Coturnix japonica: one gene and its partners. The protein of the gene in region 2 interacts with the protein of the main gene of each other region in a pairwise test. Links are inferred from orthologs where the notes say so. Each region holds a gene or a part of one and is shown on either strand. Other genes may lie near its edges.

Region 1 (4,099 bases), on a different chromosome or scaffold from region 2:
TTCTAGCTCAGCTTCTGAGCTTGTGATGGCTTTTCTTTTAAACCAGCCACCCTGCAGAACTGGACGTGCTCTTCCTTTGGCCACTTTCCTGCTCTTGGCTTTGCTGCTGCTTCTGCAAGTGGGTCTGTATGTAAACCACAGAAACAAATACATCTTGCTCCATTTGTACTCCATGTTTGCCAGGCTAGTGGCTGGAAGAGATCACGATCAGTTTCTCTTCAAATTTTAAAGCTTGGATAGACATCAACTGCCTCATCACAGTTATTTTCACTTTAGAATAACATTTAGAACTCTCAGAAGGGTTGTAGTTAGCCTTAAAATATGGTGTTTCCTGGATTTTGCTACACATAAGGCCTTAACTTGCAAATGGTTCAGGTAATAATTTGCTTCAGCCTTACAATTGGAACTTCAGTGAATGATTAACGTAATGATTCTAATGTTTAACCCCTTGCTCCTCCTTCCTTGGATTATCACAGTTCCTTTGCCTGCCTTACTGGAAGCATATCTACTCCTTTAACATTCCCTCTGTATCACACAGTAAGCTTTCAAGCTCTTCTCTCCTGGTGTTTTTTGCTGAATTAGTGATTATAAATGATGAGCAAGCACAGGTGCACAGCTCCTGCGGAGTTCAATACATCCCAGTACTTCCCTCTGCAGTCTTTCTGTTTATCTGTCCCTCTTGTCATTTTCCTACTGGATCATTAAGGCAAGCTCTAATGGCCGGACAGTCCAACATGGTGGAATGGGCCAAAGCTTCTGAGAACAAATTTCACCCATGACTTCTGCTCTTAGGTCAAGGAGATGGGCTGCAAACCACATGGTGATCCTCAGATGTTCGGGTGGAAAAACAGCATTCAGTATTTTAACTGTAGCCATGAGGTATTTTTAAGTGAACAGCCACCGAGCACATTCCCACCAGCACAGTGCCAATGCAGCAAAAGCAAACTGGAGATAAGAAGCTGATGAGAATAACAACAATCCTCCATCCCAGGCATTTATGAGGAATGACTGAGTGGCCTTGAAGGGACTTTATCTAAAGTAAAAGCACCTGCAAATTGGTTAATGAGACTGAGCTGCCCTGAGCAGAGGATACTCCTTTAGGAATCACTAGTGTACTGCAGGGTGGATCTGGATGGCAACAAGATCAGCTATGAAAAATTCACTCAACCAACTGCAACATCTTCCATCCTTCTCCATATTATCACCTCTGCAGGGTGAGGTGCAATTTCAGTCATCATGTTTTCAGCATATGTTGACACTGCTTGGAGGTTTGAAACAAATATTAGCAATCTGTATTCCCCCTATCGAGCACAGCACTGTGGATCCAGTAAGTAAGAAGTATTTGCACTAATTGGACACACACAAATGGATATACCTTAATGAATGCCTTAATTTCGTGTGCTCTCTTTAAAGAGGTTCATCCACAAGTGAGACGTAACTGTTTCTAGGGCAAAATACGGCATCCACCAGTGCTGGCAGCACCACACTGCAGTCATGTGAGAAGAATAAAAGCAATTCTCTCCTGCTGAAATCGCTAGAGAAATTGCAGGGTGGTGGAAAGCAATTACAGGCTTGGAAAATAGCTACGATACCAGGGTAATGTTGTTATCTAGTAAAAAAAAAAGCAGCAAAAACTGATTGAATTATTCTATAAAATGCCCAACCGTTGCTGAAGTCAGCTGTCTCTAACAAAAGCAAGTTTGGAGATAGCTTCCCTCAACATTCATTGGCTCCATAAATGACTTTAACAAGATTCATATTGCACGACACGCTCATATCCCCAGTTTCGACATGTAGGTCTGGGAAGACCTGTCTAGGTGTCTGAATAGCAAATTAGGAAGTCGGTTTGGAAACTGCTCCTTTTCTTTGTTTCTTTATAGTCTTGACCATTGTTCCTGGCACGCTGTCCAACACTGGCTCACCTGTCTCAACTCAGATTACAGGCTTTCGCGTGTCCTGCGCAAGGCTTGGCACCATTCCTGACAACAAGTGACCACTGCCAGTTGTTTGACTTTGGAACTGGAGGAGTACATTGCTGCAGCAGATAATGAATGAACAAACTGTGGATACGGCCTGCTGACCTATGGCAACACTTTGGCTTTCTCCTGCACCGACAAGATTTAAACTTGCAGACTGAGTTTCACTGGCTTTTATACCCCAAATGAATCGAATTACTTAGATGTGTGAGCTGGGAACCAGCTTCTACACACAACACCCTTCCCTCCCAGTAATGTTAAATATGAGATTCTTCAAATCATTCCTGCGCTTGGTATGTCAGTCGCATTCAAGTATTGTTTTGTGTACGTCATATCAGTGATCATTGCTTTACACTACATTATTCTCGCAGGCAGTGCTTATTAGTCTTCTCCCAACAACTCATCATCTTGAAGGGATGTGGGGAAGGGAGGATTCCTACAAGGATCAATTAACAGATGCCTGCACATCACTGTGGGATTCTCTATTCATAAAGCAACTATTGGTTTCTGGCTGTCCCTACGAAGATGCAGTTCTGCATCTCACTTTGTTTTCTAGCTGTTTTCTCTGCCTATCTCTACTCGCTGCCGCGAGGGCCTCCTGGTGGTGCAACCTGTGCCCGTCAGGCAGGCTCCAAACAGCAGCCCCTTATGGTAAGAATGTACAAGCTAACTTGGCTTCCCCCCCCACACACAGTTTTCTGTCTTTCCAGACCAATTTCTTCTCACCACTCCCTGCTGAACATGGGAAATCCCTGCCAGCCCCTGCATGAGACACTTTGGTTTTCTGATATTAACGCTGTGCCAGGCTCGTAGCCCCGCCGCCAGGCCCCATTCCCCGACGTCGCCATGGAGATGCGCCGGCCGCAAACCGCCGCCGGGCCACGCGGCGGACCCACGGCGCAGAGCGGCGGGGGCTGCCGGGGCGCAGGCGCCGCTCGTGGAAGCGGTGCTGCCCCCCCGGAACGAGGCAGATCCCGACGGAGCGGGACGGGAGCGGCGGGATCCTCATCCGCTCTTCCCTCGCTAACAGGGCGGCTCGGTGACGCGGGCCCTGCGGGTGGTGCTCGTTGCCCCTACCGTTGTTGGGACGTGTCCCGGCAATAGGGAGCGATGCCTCTCTTCGGGAACACCTTCAGCCCTAAGAAGACCCCTCCGCGGAAGGCCGCCTCGCTGTCCAACCTGCACTTGGTGAGTGTTGGGGCTGCGGTTCCTCACAGTCTTTAGTGGCACCCCCAGTGTGTTGGCTGGATGTTGGGGTGGGAGAAAGTGTGGGCATGGTGATGAGCAACTAGGGAACAAGTGATAGGATGAGAGGTGATGGCCTCAAGTTGTGCCGGGGGAGGTTCAGGTTGGATGTTAGGAAGGATTTCTTCTCTATACGAGCGGTGCTGCAGTGGCACAGGCTGCCCAGGGAGCTGGTGGGGTCACCATCGTTGGAGGTGTTCCAGAGCCGTGTGGATGTGGCACTGAGGGACGTGGTTTAATGGTGACGGGTTGAAGGCTGACTGGGTGATCTTAAGAGCTCTGTTCCAACTTCAACAGTTCCTTCTCTCTGCAGCTGGACAGATCCACCCGCGAGGTCGAGCTGGGCCTGGAATATGGCACCCCCACCATGAACCTCACCGGGCAGAGCCTCAAGTTTGAGAATGGCCAGTGGGTGGCAGGTAGTGCCGTGTGGTGTGGGGGGCCTGCAGGGGTCACGGTTGGCTGATGTCCGACTGTGTGCTCTCTTTATTTCCTCCAGAAGTCGGAAGCTTCACGGGAGATCGCAGGGAAATGCAGCGCTTGCGCAAACGCAACCAGCAGCTGGAGGAGGAAAACAATCTCCTTCGTCTGAAGGTGGATATTCTGCTGGACATGGTGAGTACTGAACTTCTGTTCTGTGTGTGAGGCTGCGGGTGACAGAATTCCCCAGCACTAACCACTAACTGGGCTGTCTTGGTGAAGTGCGAAGCCTCAGCTTCCCTCTCACTGAAATGCAGATGCTTTCTCACATTGGAGCTGGCTGTGGCTGTAAATCTCGGCGACATCTCGAGAAAGATTGTGCCAGAAAACACGTTTCTGTAATGGGAAAAGCTTTTGGTAGGGCAGTGCTTGAAGGAGCTCATCGATGTTGCTCTGTG
Region 2 (4,018 bases):
AGAAATTGGAGAGAAACAACTCTCAAGTAAATACTATGTGGTGAGAAACAGGCAGCAAAGCTTTAGGCTCTATGACACAGCACACAAGAATACACTGTCCAACAAGTTCCATGCCACCTTAAAATGGAATATTCTACTATTTGAAAATGTTAGCTGGAACGGTCACATCTCCCGTTCTGTGGTCTCCACTATTACTGCTTTGCTTCAACACTACACAATCCCATTCCTGTTATTTGACTTACTTCACATGTTTTCGGTGTTCGCTCACAAAACAGCTCAATTTTAATGTCTCCTACATCAGTGTGTAGCGTGACAGCCTGAAAAACAGTCACAAAACATAATTAAACCAGCAATGAAATGCGAAGAGCTATAGACCAGATTGATTTCCTGCTCTATCAGGAACAAGAACAGGAGTGAGTTCCCGTTACATATATAACTGTTGTGTCAGTATCTGGCTATAGGCAAAAAAAATTACCATTTTTAAAGCTTTCACACATGAAAGCTTAAAACTGACTGTCTTAGAACTGAGAGTCTGAACCCATTTCAGACTGATACAACTGTATCTTCTTTTTCACCTGTAAAGTGAAGTGACCAATCGGTGGTTCGGGCCATGACTCACCAGCTCCCACACATCACTCTATCCTTTAGGAGTCCGAAATGGAAACCTGCACTTCTCATTGCAAATTCCTCACAGCATCAGAGCACAACACACCATCTGAGAATCACAGAATGACCCGGGTTGGAAGGGACCTCAAGGATCACCTGTGAGTTCCAACCCCCCTGCTGCAGGGCCACCAAACATACACCTTACTAGATCAGGTTGCCCAGGGCCCGTCCAACCTGGTCTTGAACACCTCCAAGGACGGGGCATCCACAACCTCCCTGGCAGCCTGTTCCGGGCCTAACCACTCCCTAGGAAGAACTTCCCCCTAACATCCAACCTAAATCTTCCCTCGTTTAACTTAAAACCATTTCCCCGTGTCCTGCTATTGTCAGCAGAGCAGAGAAGCAGAGCAGCCAATTGCTTTCCAACACACCCACACGTTTCATTAAACACACGAGTACATACGAAGTGCTGCAGTTCTCACCATATCTGCTCATCAAGAGGCTGCGATAGGAGCGTGTACAGCAACTGCCTGCAAAGGAAACACAGCACTCGGCTCCCCCTTCTCCCAGCAGACAGTGGAACACAACCTGCATCACCGGAACTGCGTCCGTCTCTCGTCCGTCCCCAGCCCTTCTGCCCTCCTCCTCCTCGTTCTCTCCCCGTCGGTTCCGCATGCTGCTCTGCCTGCTCTGCCGCCCGCTCCATTGTATCCGTGCTGCGGGCCGCCCTCCCTCCCGTTCCCTCATGGACCTCAGGGAGCTCGTCGCCGCCCTGAATGACTTCGCCTCCCCGTCCCTGGCTGAGAGCTGGGACAACGTGGGGCTGCTGGTGGAGCCCAGCCCTCCCCACGCCGTGCGCACCCTGCTCCTCACCAACGACCTGACCGAGCAGGTGATGGAGGAGGCGGTGCAGAAGAACGCGGACCTCATTCTGTCCTATCACCCTCCCATCTTCGCTCCGCTCAAGCGGGTCACATGGAGGACCTGGAAGGAGCGGCTGGTGGTCCGGGCTCTGGAGCACAGGATCGGGATCTACTCCCCGCACACAGCGTACGATGCTGTACCCCATGGAGTCAACACCTGGCTGTCCAAGGGACTCGGTGAGACTGCTCAAAACACAACATTGGGTCCGGTTACTCAGCAGTATTGGTCACATCCATCACATTATCCCATGGGGAGCCTTGCCTCCCTGCTTTCCTTTAGCCAGCTTTTACAAGTAACACCTCGGTGTGATACAAACCAGCTGTGAACACCAGAGGACATTTCCAGGTGCATGTGTGCTACTGGACGCAGAACAGGCGCAGTGTGTTTACTGTCTTGGTTAAAGAGTCTAGGCTGCTGAGTTTAAATTACTGCCTGTAATTGATAGATTTATAGATAATCTCATTGTTCCTACATGACTTAAAGTATCTGAAATTCTTTTAGACTTCTGCCATGGCTTATGAATGAGAACAGCTGTGCTTTTTCCAGCCTGATACAACTGTTAGGATAAAACAGGAACACTGTGAAGAGTAACAAATGATATGTGTCAGTCAACTTATTTGTGCTTCACAGGACAAGAGTCCTGAGTTCCAGTCCGGGAAAATGGGTTCAAGTGCAAAATTTGTCCTCTTTTGGATACATGCTAAATCAGCATCAGTTAAGCTTTCACATCACCTAGCTCTCTAAAGCCAGTCCTTGCTCTGTTTCCTCAGGTGCCTGTACTTCTGTCCCACTGCACCCATCAACCGCTCCAAGCCACCCGACTGAGGGCACTCACCAGGTAGAATTCTGTGCAGACTCTACAGAGCAACTAGACACAGTGCTGTCCAAAATCAAAGACATCCCAGAGATCTTCTGTCTCACCACTCTCCCTGTCAGGTATCTGCTTCACTCTAACATCATGTTCTTTTCTCTCATTTGAAATATTAAGTTGCTGGAGCTGTGTTTTACTGCTTGTAACCACTTCATTCCTCTGTGCAGCACTGCTACTTTTTTTCAGCAACAGACCCATAAAATTAAAAGACAATCATCCCCTTCTGATCAATGCATGTTATACTGAATGGTAATTATTGACTTCATGTAGCATCACAGGGATTAACGTGGTGAAGAGTATTAACAAGAAATACAAATTAAATACACGTGGGTTAAATTCCCATGTGTGCTTCCTCCAGACTAAGCTAGACTGTTATGTCTTTTTTTTCCCCTTTCTGTGCAGCAGGCCTCTGAACACCTTTATGCTCTTTGAATACTATGCTGAAATTTTACCTAAGCTCTTAACAAGCACCAAACACATCTTTCCTTAGGGCTGACAGGGAGGAGCAGACACGAGTCAGTCTGAACTGCTCTCAGAAAGCACTGCTGGAGGTAGTGGCGTTATTGTCCCAGAACAGCCTTCTTTATCACAAGACTGAGATTCTCTTACTACAAAAGGTAATAAAACTATATATTGCTTCCAGTGAGTGTCACTTCTATGAGCTGACTGCCCTAAAATTGAATTCCATCAACTGCTGGCATCGCAGGTTTCCTCTGCATCCTGTCAGTGCTCTGAACTACTGGCCTGTAGGCATTTGATGCCATTTGAGGCCACATCCATTTTCCCAAACAATGAAAAATAACTATGTGGCCTGAACTAGTTCTAAAACTGGGTTCCAAACACTACTGTAGTTAGTATGTTGCATTCAATAACATCCATATTTTTTCCATAAAGTTCAGAATTGTTTTTCCTTAACGCTCAGTATACTTGTTTTTATACACTACAGAAAGTAATGTGAACTTCTGGAGTCAGCTTTCTCACAGTAATTTGAATTTCTTTTCTCTTCAGCCTCTTCTTCCACATACTGGAATGGGACGTCTCTGCACACTGAGTGAGCCAGCTTCCTTGTCAGACATAATTGAGCGTATCAAAAGCCACCTCAAATTACCCCACGTTCGCCTTGCCATGGGAACAGGCAAGACACTCGGTAATCAAACCCACCAGTAACACTGCCCATCTCAACTAGCATTCCAGGAACACAAGCAGCGTGTGTGTGTAGGTGTGTGAAATCCTGCTGCCTTGGACAGGTTTACTTGCCAACAGTATGAAGCGCTGTCAAAGATAAGAGGCAGCTTTTTAGAATGTTGGTGATAAAGTCAGGCAAAAAGACATCATCTGGAACATCATTTTTGACTGGAAAATGTTTTATGGTAGTTGTCACTGTGAAGGAGGCACAGCATGAGCCGAATGAGATACCACTTTTCATAATTCATATAATGACTTAAGATATTTGCCCCCAAGATACCAGACTTAAGCATGTACCGCCTCATAATATGACCCCTTTTGCAACTGACTTAAATTTACCAGCACCTTAGAATAGTAAAGATGTTTTCTGGTATCCTTCTGAACAAACAACCATCAATGTTATGATGAGAGAAAAATAGTGACAGAGAAAGT
Region 3 (3,948 bases), on a different chromosome or scaffold from region 2:
CACTGATTGGAGCTTTACCTATATGAGCACATCACCACAATGCCAAGGGAACTTGGACCGCCTTGTGTCCCAGTTACCTCCGTGTAAGTGCAGGAAATGGGAGCCTGCTGGGAACAGCCTGGGCAGGTGCAAGCAGCACCCTCTGCCTTGAAGGAGAAGCCGCAGCTCGTAACACCCTCCATCCATTCGTTTGCAGGATGTTAAACAACAGCCGTGTGCTGCTTTGCACGCTCCAGCATCAGCTGTGGGGCAGCCAGGACCCTGCACAGCCCCTTTGGAAAATCCCCCACCTATCTGCCCCTGCGTGCATCAGCATCACCTGCCCGGGCACGTGCTGGGCAGGGCTGATGCAAGGGGGGACCCGCAGCAGCCACGTCACCCTGCACAGGGATAAGTGATGCCATCGCATTCCCATGGGATCCCATTGCTGGGGTCTCCCGTGAACCAGCCCTGACCTATCCTGCAATCTGCTCTATGGGGAGCAATCTTTGCAGGCAGAAATTTCCCAGCGTGATCCAAACCGCTACGAAGGAGGGGTGGGAGCAAACGCAGCCCTCGTGCAGTCTCGTGCAGTTCCGATCCGGGCTGTGCAGAGCTTCGTTTGATCGGTTTGAGAGCTGGAAAATGTGTCTGAAATAAGGACAGGAAACATGGGTCCGGGGTTGCACCTGTGTCCGGGCTGGACCCAGTGACAGCGCTAACATCCAGCAGCTGTAAATTGAAGCTAGAAAGGCTCAAATGGGAAATAAATCACTGATGTTAATAGTGCGAGTAATTACTTTAATGAGAGACGTAGCAGATTCACCGCCTTTCAGCTCAGCCTGGGAGCATTCCCAAAGCCCACGTTCGGGGCTGCGGGCTGTGACACACTGCTCGTATCACAGAGCTGGGAACGGGGTGGGCCCGGCTTTGTGCCAGCAGGGCAGCAATCCTGGAGTTTGGGCTCAACGAGCGGGTTTAGGGCGAGTAATGGCACACGCTGCAATGGGCAGCACTACCGGGATACAGCAGTACCGGGATACAGCACTACCGGGACGCAGCACTACCGGGACCCAGCGCTGTCCGTGACCGCACCGCCCACGCGGGGGCGCCGGGGCTCGTCGTGGAGCAGAATGTGTTACGGCTCCTTTAAGAGCCGGGCAAATGTATCAAAACAAAACGGCAGCGCTGCCATAGGCTGCGGGGCGGGCACGTGGCGCACAGCTGGCTTCCTGCGGCCAAGCACCGGTGGCAGCTCCCGGTGCCGCCGCTACGGCCCGACCCGACCCGACCCGACCCGACCCGACCCGGCTCGTTCCCGGTCCCCGCAGCTCCCCGCTCCTACACGGCACAGTCTCACTGCCCGGCCCGGCCATGGCGCACTCGGCGCCGCTCGGCCTTATGGAGCAGGGCTGCCCCATCCAGGTGGAGCACGATCGGAAGCGGCGGCAGTTCACCGTGCGGCTGAACGGTAACGGAGCAGAGCCCCCGATCCGCCCCCTACCCCCCGATCCCCCCCCTCTGTCCTCAGCCCCCTCCTCCTGTGCATTTAATCGGTGCCTCTCGGCGTCCCCGTGAAACCAGCCCCTCTCCGGTTCACCTGGTAAACACCAGCAGCCGGATGGGGTTATGTTGGATTCTTTTTCCTCCTCCTCTTTTTTTTTTTTCTCTTTTAATTCCAACCGCTAATTACAAAGTGCAGCGGGAGGTGATGTACGTGGAGGTGAAGCTCCCTCCGCCCACTCGCTGCCGGCATTGGGATCAAATGAGGGCACCCTGTGCTGTGGGTGCATTGGTGGGACAAAAGGGGTCATTGGGGAAAGGAAATCCTTCATTCAGAGGGCGGTGAGGGGCTGGCGCTGCTCCCAGAGCACTGAGTGCCCAGCCCTGGAGGTGCCCGAGGCCGTGGGTGGGCCCTGGGCAGCCTGGTGGGAGGAAACCAGCTGGTTTGCAGTATCTTCTCTGCTTTCTTTGTATGCGAGGAAATGAATGGTGCTTGGTGTTTGCCCCTTCATCCCTCTCCTCTGAGCCTACAGTGCTATGTGTGCTTCCTAATGCCTGCATCAAATCAGCACGTTGCTTTTCTCTTTGTGTCCTGAAAGCAGAAGCATTGAGAGCTGGAAGTAAAGCAGCTCATGGCAGGGACTGACCACGCTTTGTTCTCCTCTTGGAGAGGAGAGCAGAGAGAAGCTTGATGGGATGAGAGGGAATGGCCTCAGGTTGTGCCGGGGGACATTCAGGTTGGATAGCAGGAACTATTTATTCTAAGGAGTGACACTGCTGCCCAGGGAGTGGTGGGGTCACCATCCTTGGAGGTGTTTGAGCAGGGTGTGGATGTGGTTGGTGAGCAGTACTGGTGGTGGGTTGGACTAGATGATGATCTTGGTGGTCCTTTGTGACCTTAATGATTCTGTGATCCTTTGATTTGTCCTCAGTTAAGCTGTAGGTAACAGCACAGACAGCCAGCACAGCCCTTTTTGCTGGAGAGCATCACTGAGTGTTTCCATAGGAAAACCAGAGCAGGCTGTGCTGCTGTGCTGGGACTAAAGGGATGAGGTTGTGCTGTGCACCGAGATGGCTCTGTGCTCTCCCAGTGCTACAGTCACTAGATCTCCTCAGCAGGAAACTGCAGCTGAGCTGGGCCCCCTGTGCTGTTCCAGAGTGGGGCCGTCGGGGACAGCTGTGCCATCTCCACTCAGCACTGCATGTGGTGCATCTCTCTGTAGGAACGTGCCAGGCTCTCTGCAGGGCTGTCTGTGTGCTTGGGGACGGCTCCTTGGGATTGCTGGCTTTGCTCTGTCCCCTTTTTCCCTGCCAAGGTTTGCAGCTATGGAGTGATGTGTAGGATTGCATCTGGGCTGGGCAGTGGGGAAGACGTTCCTCCCCGTCCCCCATCCCAGGACAGAGAGGGCATAAGGAGGTGTTTTCAGCTGCAATGCAGCAAAAGTGAATGGATGGCGCTCAGCTGAAGCATGCAGTAAGTGCAGGTGAAGGTGGGGCCCTTCATCCTCCAGTAAGCACTGGGGGGAAAGGAAAAGTTTCTGTTATTTTAACTGAGTTTGTCTCATTGATGGGAAGCTTGTGTTTTGGAAATTCTTTAAGTATAGAAACTCTCCAGAAATGAGTTGAAGCTGAGTTTGGGCTCTGCAGATGGAGATGGAGGGGTATTATTAGCTCTCCTCTGATTTACATGTGTGCTGAAACTTCTTTCTTCCTCTATCTAAATTGCTGTGAGAATGTCAGGGTTTTGCAACAGGAAATGTGTGTGTCAGTGTGCACACACGCACCCCTGCACACCTGTGTGCACTTATGGGATACCCAGCTGTTCCAGTATCTCCCTCCAGTCCTTCCAAGGTCCCAAATGTAACACCAGGCCTGGAAGCTTTGTCCCGTGTTCTGGCCCATGCTGTAGGGGGAAAAGAGCTGGTGCTCCCTGTTCAGCTTTGGCAGTTCCTCAGCACTCTCTCCCATCCCCAGGTTGCCATGACCGAGCGGTGCTGCTCTATGAATACGTGGGGAAGCGCATTGTGGACCTGCAGCACACCGAGGTGCCGGATGCCTATCGGGGAAGAGGGATAGCCAAACACCTTGCAAAGGTACAGCCACTGCCCTGGGGGGAGCTGCTTCTATCCGATGGAGGGGAGAGGTGTGGGGAGGTTAAGTGAGGCCCCAGAGGAAAAGGAGAGCATTTTGGGGTGGCTCAGCACTCAAAAGGGAGGTGTTAAGCCTTCCCCCTGGGGGCTGGAGGGCTGGATGGAAACCTGTGGTCAGATGTTCCTATTTCTGGCCGCGAGGGGGGCTGGGTGAGTTCCAGCACGTCCTCTGCTCGATCCTCCTCCACTGCCAGCAGCCCTCGCTCCCACCCTGCTTCCCCTTGGGGCTGCTCCAGCATCTCCCCCCAGGAGCTGGGCTCCCTCGCCCCAAAGCTTCAAGGCCCACACGTGCCCTTTCTCTTCCTTGGGCCTCACT
Region 4 (4,093 bases), on a different chromosome or scaffold from region 2:
TGTGCGTCCCGGGCCGTGGTGCGGACTGCCCCCCGCCGTGCTCCCGCAGCTCCCGCAGCTCCCGGTGCCGAACGTCTCCGAGCAGTTCCCGGTGCCAACGCCTCCGCCGTGAGCAGAGCCGGGCGGGGTGCTGACAGACCCCGGGCAGCCACGTTGTTCCTTACCTCCCTCGGGGCTCTTTTGGGTGCGATTCAGCCCCCCTGAGGCTTCCTGGAACATAAAGCAACGAGAGCGGCGCAAGGCAACGGAGTGCCGCTGTCAGAAGGGCGCTGCCATCTCCACGCCTCCCGCTGCTCCGCGGCCCTTGTGCGGGAAGATGGAACAACCCCTCGCGTCTTCTGGGTGCCCGTTCCCCTCAAAATGGCACTTTCGAATCCATCGCGAACGGCGGAAAGTCCAAAAGCCGCCTCGGATCATCGCCTCCCGCAGCTCCGGGACAGCTCCTCCCCGGCCCCGGGGCCGCTTCCCGGGGCAGGTGCCCTCAGCCGCGGGGCACGGCGGCTACGGAGCAAAACCAGCCGAAAAAACACCTTTCCCCCCCCCTCCTTTTCCCTTTCCCCTCCCTCTCTCCCTCCCGGCCCCGCTCATGGCCGCTGCGGGGCCGTAGGGGCGGGGCGGGCGCTGCAGGCCTTCCTGCCCGGCAGAGCCGCAACTCCGCCGCGCCTCCTTAAATCTCTGCCGTTAAAATGTGGGCGGGTGTTTCAACTCAAAAAGCGCTCAAATTTTTTTTCTTTTCAAAAAAAGCTGATGAGGTTAAAAAAAAAAAAAAAAAAAAAAAAGGAGCGGGGGGGGGGTTGGAAGAGAGAGAGGAGAGAGAGAGAGAGAGAAACCGGCTTCGTGTCCGTAGGAAACAGAAGTAGCGATTGTTTGCGCTTAAAAAAGGGAGAGCGCGGAGCCGCGGGAGGAGGCAGCGATCAGCGGAGCGGCAAGTGCAGCGAGCAGCGGAGCGGACGGAGCGGCGCAGCGCGGCTGTCATCGGCGGCGGCACCACGCACCGCCCGCTGCACCCGCCGTTCCTCCGTCCCTCCGTCCCCCGGCCCGGACGGCGACCCGCAGAGGAGGCGGCGGCGGAGGCGACCGAGAGCGGCGGGGACCTCGGCTCCCCGCGGACACGGCATGAGCCCGCCCCGCCGGGCCGCCGCCCGCCGCCCCGCAGCCCCGCTGGATGCACCCCGGCCGCCGCCGCCCAGGGCGGCTCCCGCCGGCCCGGATCGCGGAGCCGCGGAGAGGCCGCGGGAGTGAGGCCGCCGCCGGCACAGAGAGCGACGAGGGAGGCGGCGAGATCCGGGAGCGTCTCGCTCCGCGCCTTCTGCCCGGCCCCGGAGCGGGGCATGCGGCGGGCGGACCCCGATAGTGAAGACTTTGCCTCGGAGCTGCGGCTGCTGAGGCTCAGATGCCGACTGTGAGCAGGGTGGGTTGTCCTCTTCCAGGATCTCAGGTCTGAGTGAGTCTCCGGTATACGTGCGTGTATATATGTTACGTGTAACATATATCATATATCGCATAGCTCTTAATGTATTTCCCCTCGCAACCGGCCAAAGGCTTTAATATGAGTTCCTCTCTATGTGGAAGCAAAGAAATCTTCTTTCAAGCGGAGCTGCAGTTTTGCTGAATAATCACGTGTGAGTTAGGGGCGGGCTCTTGGCAAGGAGTTTTTTTACGAGTATTTACTACAAGGTCTACTCCAGAAGATTAACCATCCCAATCCTTCTGTCAGTCTCCGATGCCATGCCTGGTTAAAAAAAAAAAAAATCTCATCTTTTTCTGATCGTCAGTCACCCTAAAGAATGGCCGAGCCTTCTGGGAACGAGCTGGCGTCCGCGGCTGCCAAGGGGGACCTAGTGCAACTCACTAATTTGTTGCAAAAGAATGTAAACGTCAATGCACAAAATGGATTTGGGAGGACTGCGCTGCAGGTTGGTATCCAGAGAGGGAGAAAATATTTCATCACTGCTACCTACGTGACCCGGGTTGCCAAAAAGACAACGCTTTGAGCAGGCTGCTGGAGAAATGCGAGGGCTTTTTCAACGAGTTGGATGCCATATTTTATAACTTTAGTGGCTCCAGCTCCCTAAAATGACGTACTTGAAATAAAAGTGCTCAGAAGCAGCGGTTCAGCCGGGGGTCACCCTCGGTGGCGGACGGGCAGAGAGTTGGGTGCGATTTGGGAACTCGGAGGGGAGGAGGCAGAGAATGAAGTAGAGGAGACGAAAAGAAATCACCGTAGGTGAGCAGGGCTCAGGGCAGGTCTGTAAACACCGATGTGCTACGGTTTGGAGCTGCAGTTCTCGGTTCTTTTCCCCCATCCCCCCCTCCTTCCCCCCCCAACTTTCCCTCTTAAAATGTGCCTTGTCCGGGTGCTGGGCTCTGCCGCGATGGTACTTTTCCTTTATGCGCTGTTTGTGCCGAATGACCTTTCTCGTTCGGAGGCTGCACGGCACCGAGCACCTTCGATGCGCTCTCAGAGCCGCGGAGCGGCACCCCGAGCCCCGCCACCGCCTCTCCATTCATCGTTAGGGATGAAAATTGCCCTTTCTCGGCTCGGTGGCGGGGCGGGGGTTCGGCTCTTTCATTTCTGACCGTCCGTGGGGTGCCGTGTCCTCTTTTTTTCAGCGTGGAGCCGCGCAGGCAGCATTTGGAGCTCATCCAACTGCGAACTGTTGCGGCTGACGAAAGATTTTGCTTTTTCTAATATCAGATAATGATAGCGAAAAGGGTCGAATCCGTACGGGATAGCGAGAGGAACGGTCTGTAGATGAGGAGAAAGTGTGTGGTTATTAGTGCCGAAGGTGAAACAGAGGGACGTGGAAGCAGAGCTCCGGGGCTTATTAATTTCACACGTTAGAAAAATCGTTTGTTAACTCTTCTCCCCCCCTCCCCGAAACCACGAGAATCATTTCTGAAATGTACTCTGTAAAAAGCAGAATTCTTGCGGATGAACTCGAGATATTTACAGCTTTTTTTTCTTCTTTTTTTTTTTTTTTAATCTTTCTTTCTTTCTTTCTTCCCCCCCCCCCACCCCTTCCCTGACTTGACATCGAATGTGTTGCATTTCGAAATCGAGCACCTCTCGCTGTAAAGCAGGGCTGGCCCTGGGGGGGCACATCACCGGGGCCCGAGGGATATAGGATTTTTTTTTTTTGGAGGCTGTTCTCACCCCAATCGGGTGCCGGGTGACCGTGAGGGCACTCGGGGCAACTTTTAAGAGATCGAAAGGATGGAAATCGGACACTTAGAGCAATAAGGCTGCCAGGGAGAAAGAAACTTGCAGCTCGGGGCTTCATCCTCGGGACGAGGGCTGCAAAGCGATTTGCAGAGCGGAGATGTATTTACTGAGAGCTGCCCGTGCCCTCCTTGGGGCCGCTTCGCACAGGGGCACAGCGGCCGCTCCCCGGCCCCGCTCTGAGCTGTGACCGTCGGTTCTCATGGAGCAGAGGGGCACGGCCCGGGGCAGGGCAGGAGGGTTCGGGGAGCCACATTCTGTACTGTACAACCCGAAATGGGCTGCGGGTGCCTGGCTGCCCTCGAACAGCTCTGTCAATACAGCCTCCCAAATGTAGACAGTCTTTAAATAATCCCTCAATAATTTCTCAATATTTTCTCCATAACCTCTCAGTAAAAAGGGAGAGGCTGCCTACATATTTGTATTTGTGGATATATATATATGCCACTGAATTTTTGTTTAATTCAGCAGCTGCTCGGCTTCTCTTCCTCTCTGCTTTTAGTTTCAGACGAGGTGCTCTCTGCAGGCCTCACTGCCCGTCCTGCCCCGATCCTCCCTGCCACGGCTACGGGCCGTTGCCGCTCCTTAGAGGAGCCGGGCAGAAAGGAGCTGTGCATCCCCCCCCCCGGCTCCATCCCCTCTGTGAGCATTTTCTCCCCCCCCCGCATGTGGCAATGCAGCCTCACTCCCCGAGCCTGCCTTCCTCGAGCCTATTAACTCCCACTTCGACCAAATACACTTTATAAATCCACCAAAAATGCACCCCGAGCCCTCCAAAAATACTCCCTAACACATCCCAATAATTTTCCCAACACAAAGGAGGGCTCGCACTGCTCCTATTTTCCCTCCCACTCCTGCTCAGAAGTGAAA
Region 5 (3,999 bases), on a different chromosome or scaffold from region 2:
ACACATTTGAATGCCACTTACAAGAATGAAGTTTCCATATACAAAGATTACAAGTTCACACTGGTAAAAGGATGGATACAAGCACGTATTCAACTTGAGATGCCTCCGCTCCAGCTGACGGTACCAATTACTCTATGACCATGGTTGCACAGTACTACCATCCACTCTATTTTATTCCACTACCAACACAGAAAGCAAGAAGGGGTTTATTCAGAGAGCGCGTATATTCATTGCAAGAGTTTAGTTGCTGGAATCTTCTCTCACTACTCTTCCGTTGCCATCTTCAACAGATACTCCTTGTCGATTTTGAAGAGCCTCCAGCCCTCTTCAGTGGACAGATCGGAGGCGCCCCTTCTCTTGTAGAACCTGATGGAGGGCTCGTTCCACTCTGCCACTAGGAAGTGCATGCTGCTGCAGCGGCACTTGACAGCAACCTGCAGGAACGCAAACACAGGTCAGCGGGTCTGATGCTAAGCAGCACCAGCTGCAGATTGCTCCGAGTCATGATGTTCACTTTATCTCTCAGTTCAGCCTCTAGGCAGTGGTTAAGGCTGCCTGGAGCTCTGTCATTTCTCTTTTAGTAACTCATCAATGCTAATCCTGTGTAGTGCTCAAGGAGAAACTTGATTGCAGCTAACAGAAAATCAAGACTACTGCTCCATCATGCATCCCCAGTGCTGTTCATTTAGACTTAACACTCAGACATACCTGACTCAGATTCTTCAGGATTTCTGATCCAATGCCAAGTCCTGAGGGAAAAAGCAACAAAAATATACAGTTTAAGGAAAAAACAGCAAGACAATTTCAATTTTAAAGTAGCTCTGTAGGAAGCAGCTTGTCTGATTCCATAGTACTTACCTCTGTATTCAGCCATCACATAGAAATCTTCAAGATACAACAGCTTCCCAATCCATGGATCGTAAGTGAAGTAATACATAGCAAAGCCCACGATGCTGTGCCCTGAAACAAAGCACGCAGCTTTAGCTGGTCTGAAGCTACCGATTTGCATTAAGTCTTACATGCATATTTAAATATACAGATAGTGACATGCAGCCGTTTGCTATAAGGTTAGAATAAGAATGAAGCACAACTGGAAACGTCAGTATAAACTGGCATCAACCTAACGGAAGACTGCCCTCTTCACACCCTGAAACGCTCAAGAGCAATGTTATAATAAGCAGTGAACAAAAAGGCTTTATTTCTACTAATACATACCCTACTGATTTATCAGCACTTCCCTTCTGGAATACAAAGCAATACAGAGCAGTCCAAGGCCTAGGTAACCGCCCCAACACTGCCTTGCTTGGCAACCCCGACAAGCTACAAAGCTCTACAGAAGGTTCATCTTCCAATGTATTGCTCAGTAGAGAGAAGACATGCTCAAAGACAACTGGTACATTCTGATACATTTCTGATACGCTGACATATGTGCACACTGATTGTATTGTGCTGTTTTGAATTCAGCACCAACAAATCAAGCTACATAGAACTGCAGCTTCAAGTACAGCTGCACCACTCAACAGGGAAGAGAAACCAGCTCTTCCTGCAATAACATATTCAAATCTAAGCCTTGAAAATCGCAATGTCTACCATCATACTCTGCACATACTCTAAAGGAAGCGTGCAATAACTTCTGATCTACTGTGTCTTTGGTAAAGGTTTGGGAATAGCACTTGTCCCTGTAGACCTTACCTCATATTATGATCATCTACTTTATTGTGTAACGGATCTTTTAGTTACCTCCCCGCCCATCCATGTACACAGAAGGGCCATGTACATGGCGAAGCTAGAGACTGTAACCTGAAGATTGGGGACAAATTAAAGAAAACATGTGATTCAACAGGATTACATAAGGTTAAGTTAGGGTCAAACAAGAAAAGCCATTTAATTACTTGGCATTAAGTACATTGTTACACCTGATCATCCAGCATCTCCGAGGTTAGCAACTACTTCACAACAGCACGGCTCTACGTTATCGCCATTTTTAAGCTTAGCCTGTTCCTCCTGCCCCGACTCCTCGCTGGAACCTCAAGTCAGGTAGGTCACAATAAGCACAAGGCATCTCTTATGTAAAAAGAACAAACGAGCGGCGCAATATCTCACCTTCAGCCGACCACTGCTCTTTGGGCACCTCCGCAACGAGGCAGTGGTAGAACGGGTGCTCACCGAATCCATCCTCCAGCAGCTCTACGAGAGCAAAACAAACGGGACCCTTCAGATGCGGGCGGCGGCACCGAGCCGCAGCAGGGCGGGCAGTCGCTGCAAGCCTACCTTTCTCGGTTAGCACCACTTGATCCTCCATGTCCTCGTACTTGGCTAGTTCCTGGAACGGCACAACACGTCAGCCGCCTCCCCCGGGCCCATCACCCCTCCTCCCTCCTTCCCTCCCCCCCTCGGCCTTGCGCAACGCCCTGTTTGCGCCTTCCCCGGGTTCGGCCGCCTTTCCTTCTCTCCCCCCCCCCCATCCCATCCCACCCCCCCCCACCCCATCCCTCTTGGCCTAACGTTGGCGTCCCGCACCTTGATCAGTCGCAGCAGGTCTGAGCAGTCCTCGGGACGCGCGGCGCGGATACTGAACGAAGCCATTTTCGACGGCGTTTCCCCCTGCGGCCCCCTCGGCTGACGAGTCCCCGGTGTGTGAACAGGAGGAGCAGCTGTTTCTTCATTCGTGTCCCGGGCGCGGCGGCCACCTGCGGTCAGTCAGGCTGCGAGCATGTCCCGGCGGCGCTCGGCAAGCAGACGGCTCCCACCCGACAACAACCCCGATCCAACGCCAACTGCGCCGGCTGCGCATCCTCCGCCTCCATTTATAGATGACCGCGCTCCGCCTCTCCCCGCACGACAGCCAATGGGAGTGCCCGCAGCTCTCGCCCCCAGCCAATGGTAGCGCCCCTCCCCGGAATCTTGCCTCGCCCTGCCAGCAACAGCTGCCGCCGGTGTCTCGTGACTGCCGGCCGCCATGGCGCCCTCTGGCGGAGGCGGGAGGCGCAGCAGGACAGGCCCCCCCTGCTGTATGTGAGGCTCGGGGCGGCTGTGCCACTCACACCGTTTTCCAGTGCACACCATGGCTTAAGAAGTTCACAGAATTGTAGGGGTTGGAAGGGACCTCTAGAGATCATTGAGTCCAACCCCCCTGCCAGAGCAGGCTCCCTACACCACGTCACACAGGTAGGCGTCCAGGCGGGTCTTGAATATCTCCAGAAAAGGAGACTCCACCACCTCCATGGGCAGCCTGTTCCAGTGCTCCGTCACCCTCACTGTAAACAAATTATTTCTCACATTCATGTGGAACTTCCTATGCTGAAGTTTCACCTTCATTTAGACACAGGGACCAGTATGGAACATGATACTGCCCAAGGATTGGATGGAGAAGTGTATTCTGGTGTCCAGGTTTGGTCAAGAAAACCATCTGGCACATGCTTAGAGCCCTGGAAGGCTCTAACATCTTAAATTCACCCTAAATCCAGTTTAGCCTCCATTAGAACAAATATGGAGCTGTCCAGAGAACAGATGCATATAAAAACCAGGAAGTGGCAGTCACAAAATCACATAATCACAGAACTGTAGGGGTTGGAAGGGAACTCTGGAGATCATGGAGTCCAACCCTATAGCAGGTTGCACAGGAAGGCATCCACAGGGGCCTTGAATCTCTCCAGAGAACAAACTCCACAGGCTCTCTGAGCAGCCAGTCCCAGGGCTCTATCATCCTCACAGTGACGAAGTGAACTTCTTTACAGTGAGGGTGACGGAGCACTGGAACAGGCTGCCCAGGGAGGTGGTGGAGTCTCCTTCTCTGGAGATATTCAAGACCCGCCTGGATGCCTACCTGTGTGACGTGGTGTAGGGAGCCTGCTTTGGCAGGGGGGTTGGACTCGATGATCTCTAGAGGTCCCTTCCAACCCCTACAATTCTGTGATTCTGTGATCTTCCTCATGTTAGTACAGAACTCTTTGAGTTCCAGCTGCATTGCCCCTTGTTCTATTGCTGCTCACTACCAAA

What was found. The genes of interacting proteins can lie anywhere in the genome.
Region 1: the proteins of NIF3L1 (region 2) and DMC1 interact in binary tests that used the Homo sapiens proteins (3 or more experiments, as listed by UniProt). The two-hybrid records come from large-scale screens. The link is inferred for Coturnix japonica from reciprocal best matches to the Homo sapiens genes NIF3L1 and DMC1.
Region 3: the proteins of NIF3L1 (region 2) and NATD1 interact in binary tests that used the Homo sapiens proteins (3 or more experiments, as listed by UniProt). The two-hybrid records come from large-scale screens. The link is inferred for Coturnix japonica from reciprocal best matches to the Homo sapiens genes NIF3L1 and NATD1.
Region 4: the proteins of NIF3L1 (region 2) and CDKN2C interact in binary tests that used the Homo sapiens proteins (3 or more experiments, as listed by UniProt). The two-hybrid records come from large-scale screens. The link is inferred for Coturnix japonica from reciprocal best matches to the Homo sapiens genes NIF3L1 and CDKN2C.
Region 5: the proteins of NIF3L1 (region 2) and SAT1 interact in binary tests that used the Homo sapiens proteins (3 or more experiments, as listed by UniProt). The two-hybrid records come from large-scale screens. The link is inferred for Coturnix japonica from reciprocal best matches to the Homo sapiens genes NIF3L1 and SAT1.

What each region holds. Positions count from the first base shown.
Region 1 is NC_029516.1:46,402,828-46,406,926, reverse strand, and holds the start of DMC1 (meiotic recombination protein DMC1/LIM15 homolog), read right to left. Parts: upstream 2,801-4,099; 5' UTR 2,703-2,800; intron 2,036-2,702; 5' UTR 1,923-2,035; intron 1-1,922. Other genes in the region: CBY1 (protein chibby homolog 1), read left to right, coding at 3,087-3,164, 3,535-3,640, 3,721-3,836. UniProt on the Homo sapiens protein: Participates in meiotic recombination, specifically in homologous strand assimilation, which is required for the resolution of meiotic double-strand breaks.
Region 2 is NC_029522.1:9,804,258-9,808,275, forward strand, and holds the start of NIF3L1 (NIF3-like protein 1), read left to right. Parts: upstream 1-1,218; 5' UTR 1,219-1,279; coding exon 1,280-1,706; intron 1,707-2,300; coding exon 2,301-2,466; intron 2,467-2,891; coding exon 2,892-3,018; intron 3,019-3,409; coding exon 3,410-3,548; intron 3,549-4,018. Other genes in the region: PPIL3 (peptidyl-prolyl cis-trans isomerase-like 3), read right to left, coding at 243-317, 1,089-1,091. UniProt on the Homo sapiens protein: May function as a transcriptional corepressor through its interaction with COPS2, negatively regulating the expression of genes involved in neuronal differentiation.
Region 3 is NC_029529.1:4,555,849-4,559,796, forward strand, and holds the start of NATD1 (protein NATD1), read left to right. Parts: upstream 1-1,148; 5' UTR 1,149-1,353; coding exon 1,354-1,450; intron 1,451-3,456; coding exon 3,457-3,575; intron 3,576-3,948.
Region 4 is NC_029523.1:21,374,494-21,378,586, forward strand, and holds the start of CDKN2C (cyclin-dependent kinase 4 inhibitor C), read left to right. Parts: upstream 1-1,293; 5' UTR 1,294-1,411; intron 1,412-1,775; 5' UTR 1,776-1,787; coding exon 1,788-1,916; intron 1,917-4,093. UniProt on the Homo sapiens protein: Interacts strongly with CDK6, weakly with CDK4. Inhibits cell growth and proliferation with a correlated dependence on endogenous retinoblastoma protein RB.
Region 5 is NC_029516.1:107,414,926-107,418,924, reverse strand, and holds the start of SAT1 (diamine acetyltransferase 1), read right to left. Parts: upstream 2,801-3,999; 5' UTR 2,587-2,800; coding exon 2,521-2,586; intron 2,324-2,520; coding exon 2,104-2,323; intron 961-2,103; coding exon 859-960; intron 750-858; coding exon 709-749; intron 435-708; coding exon 264-434; 3' UTR 1-263. UniProt on the Homo sapiens protein: Enzyme which catalyzes the acetylation of polyamines. Substrate specificity: norspermidine = spermidine >> spermine > N(1)-acetylspermine. This highly regulated enzyme allows a fine attenuation of the intracellular concentration of polyamines.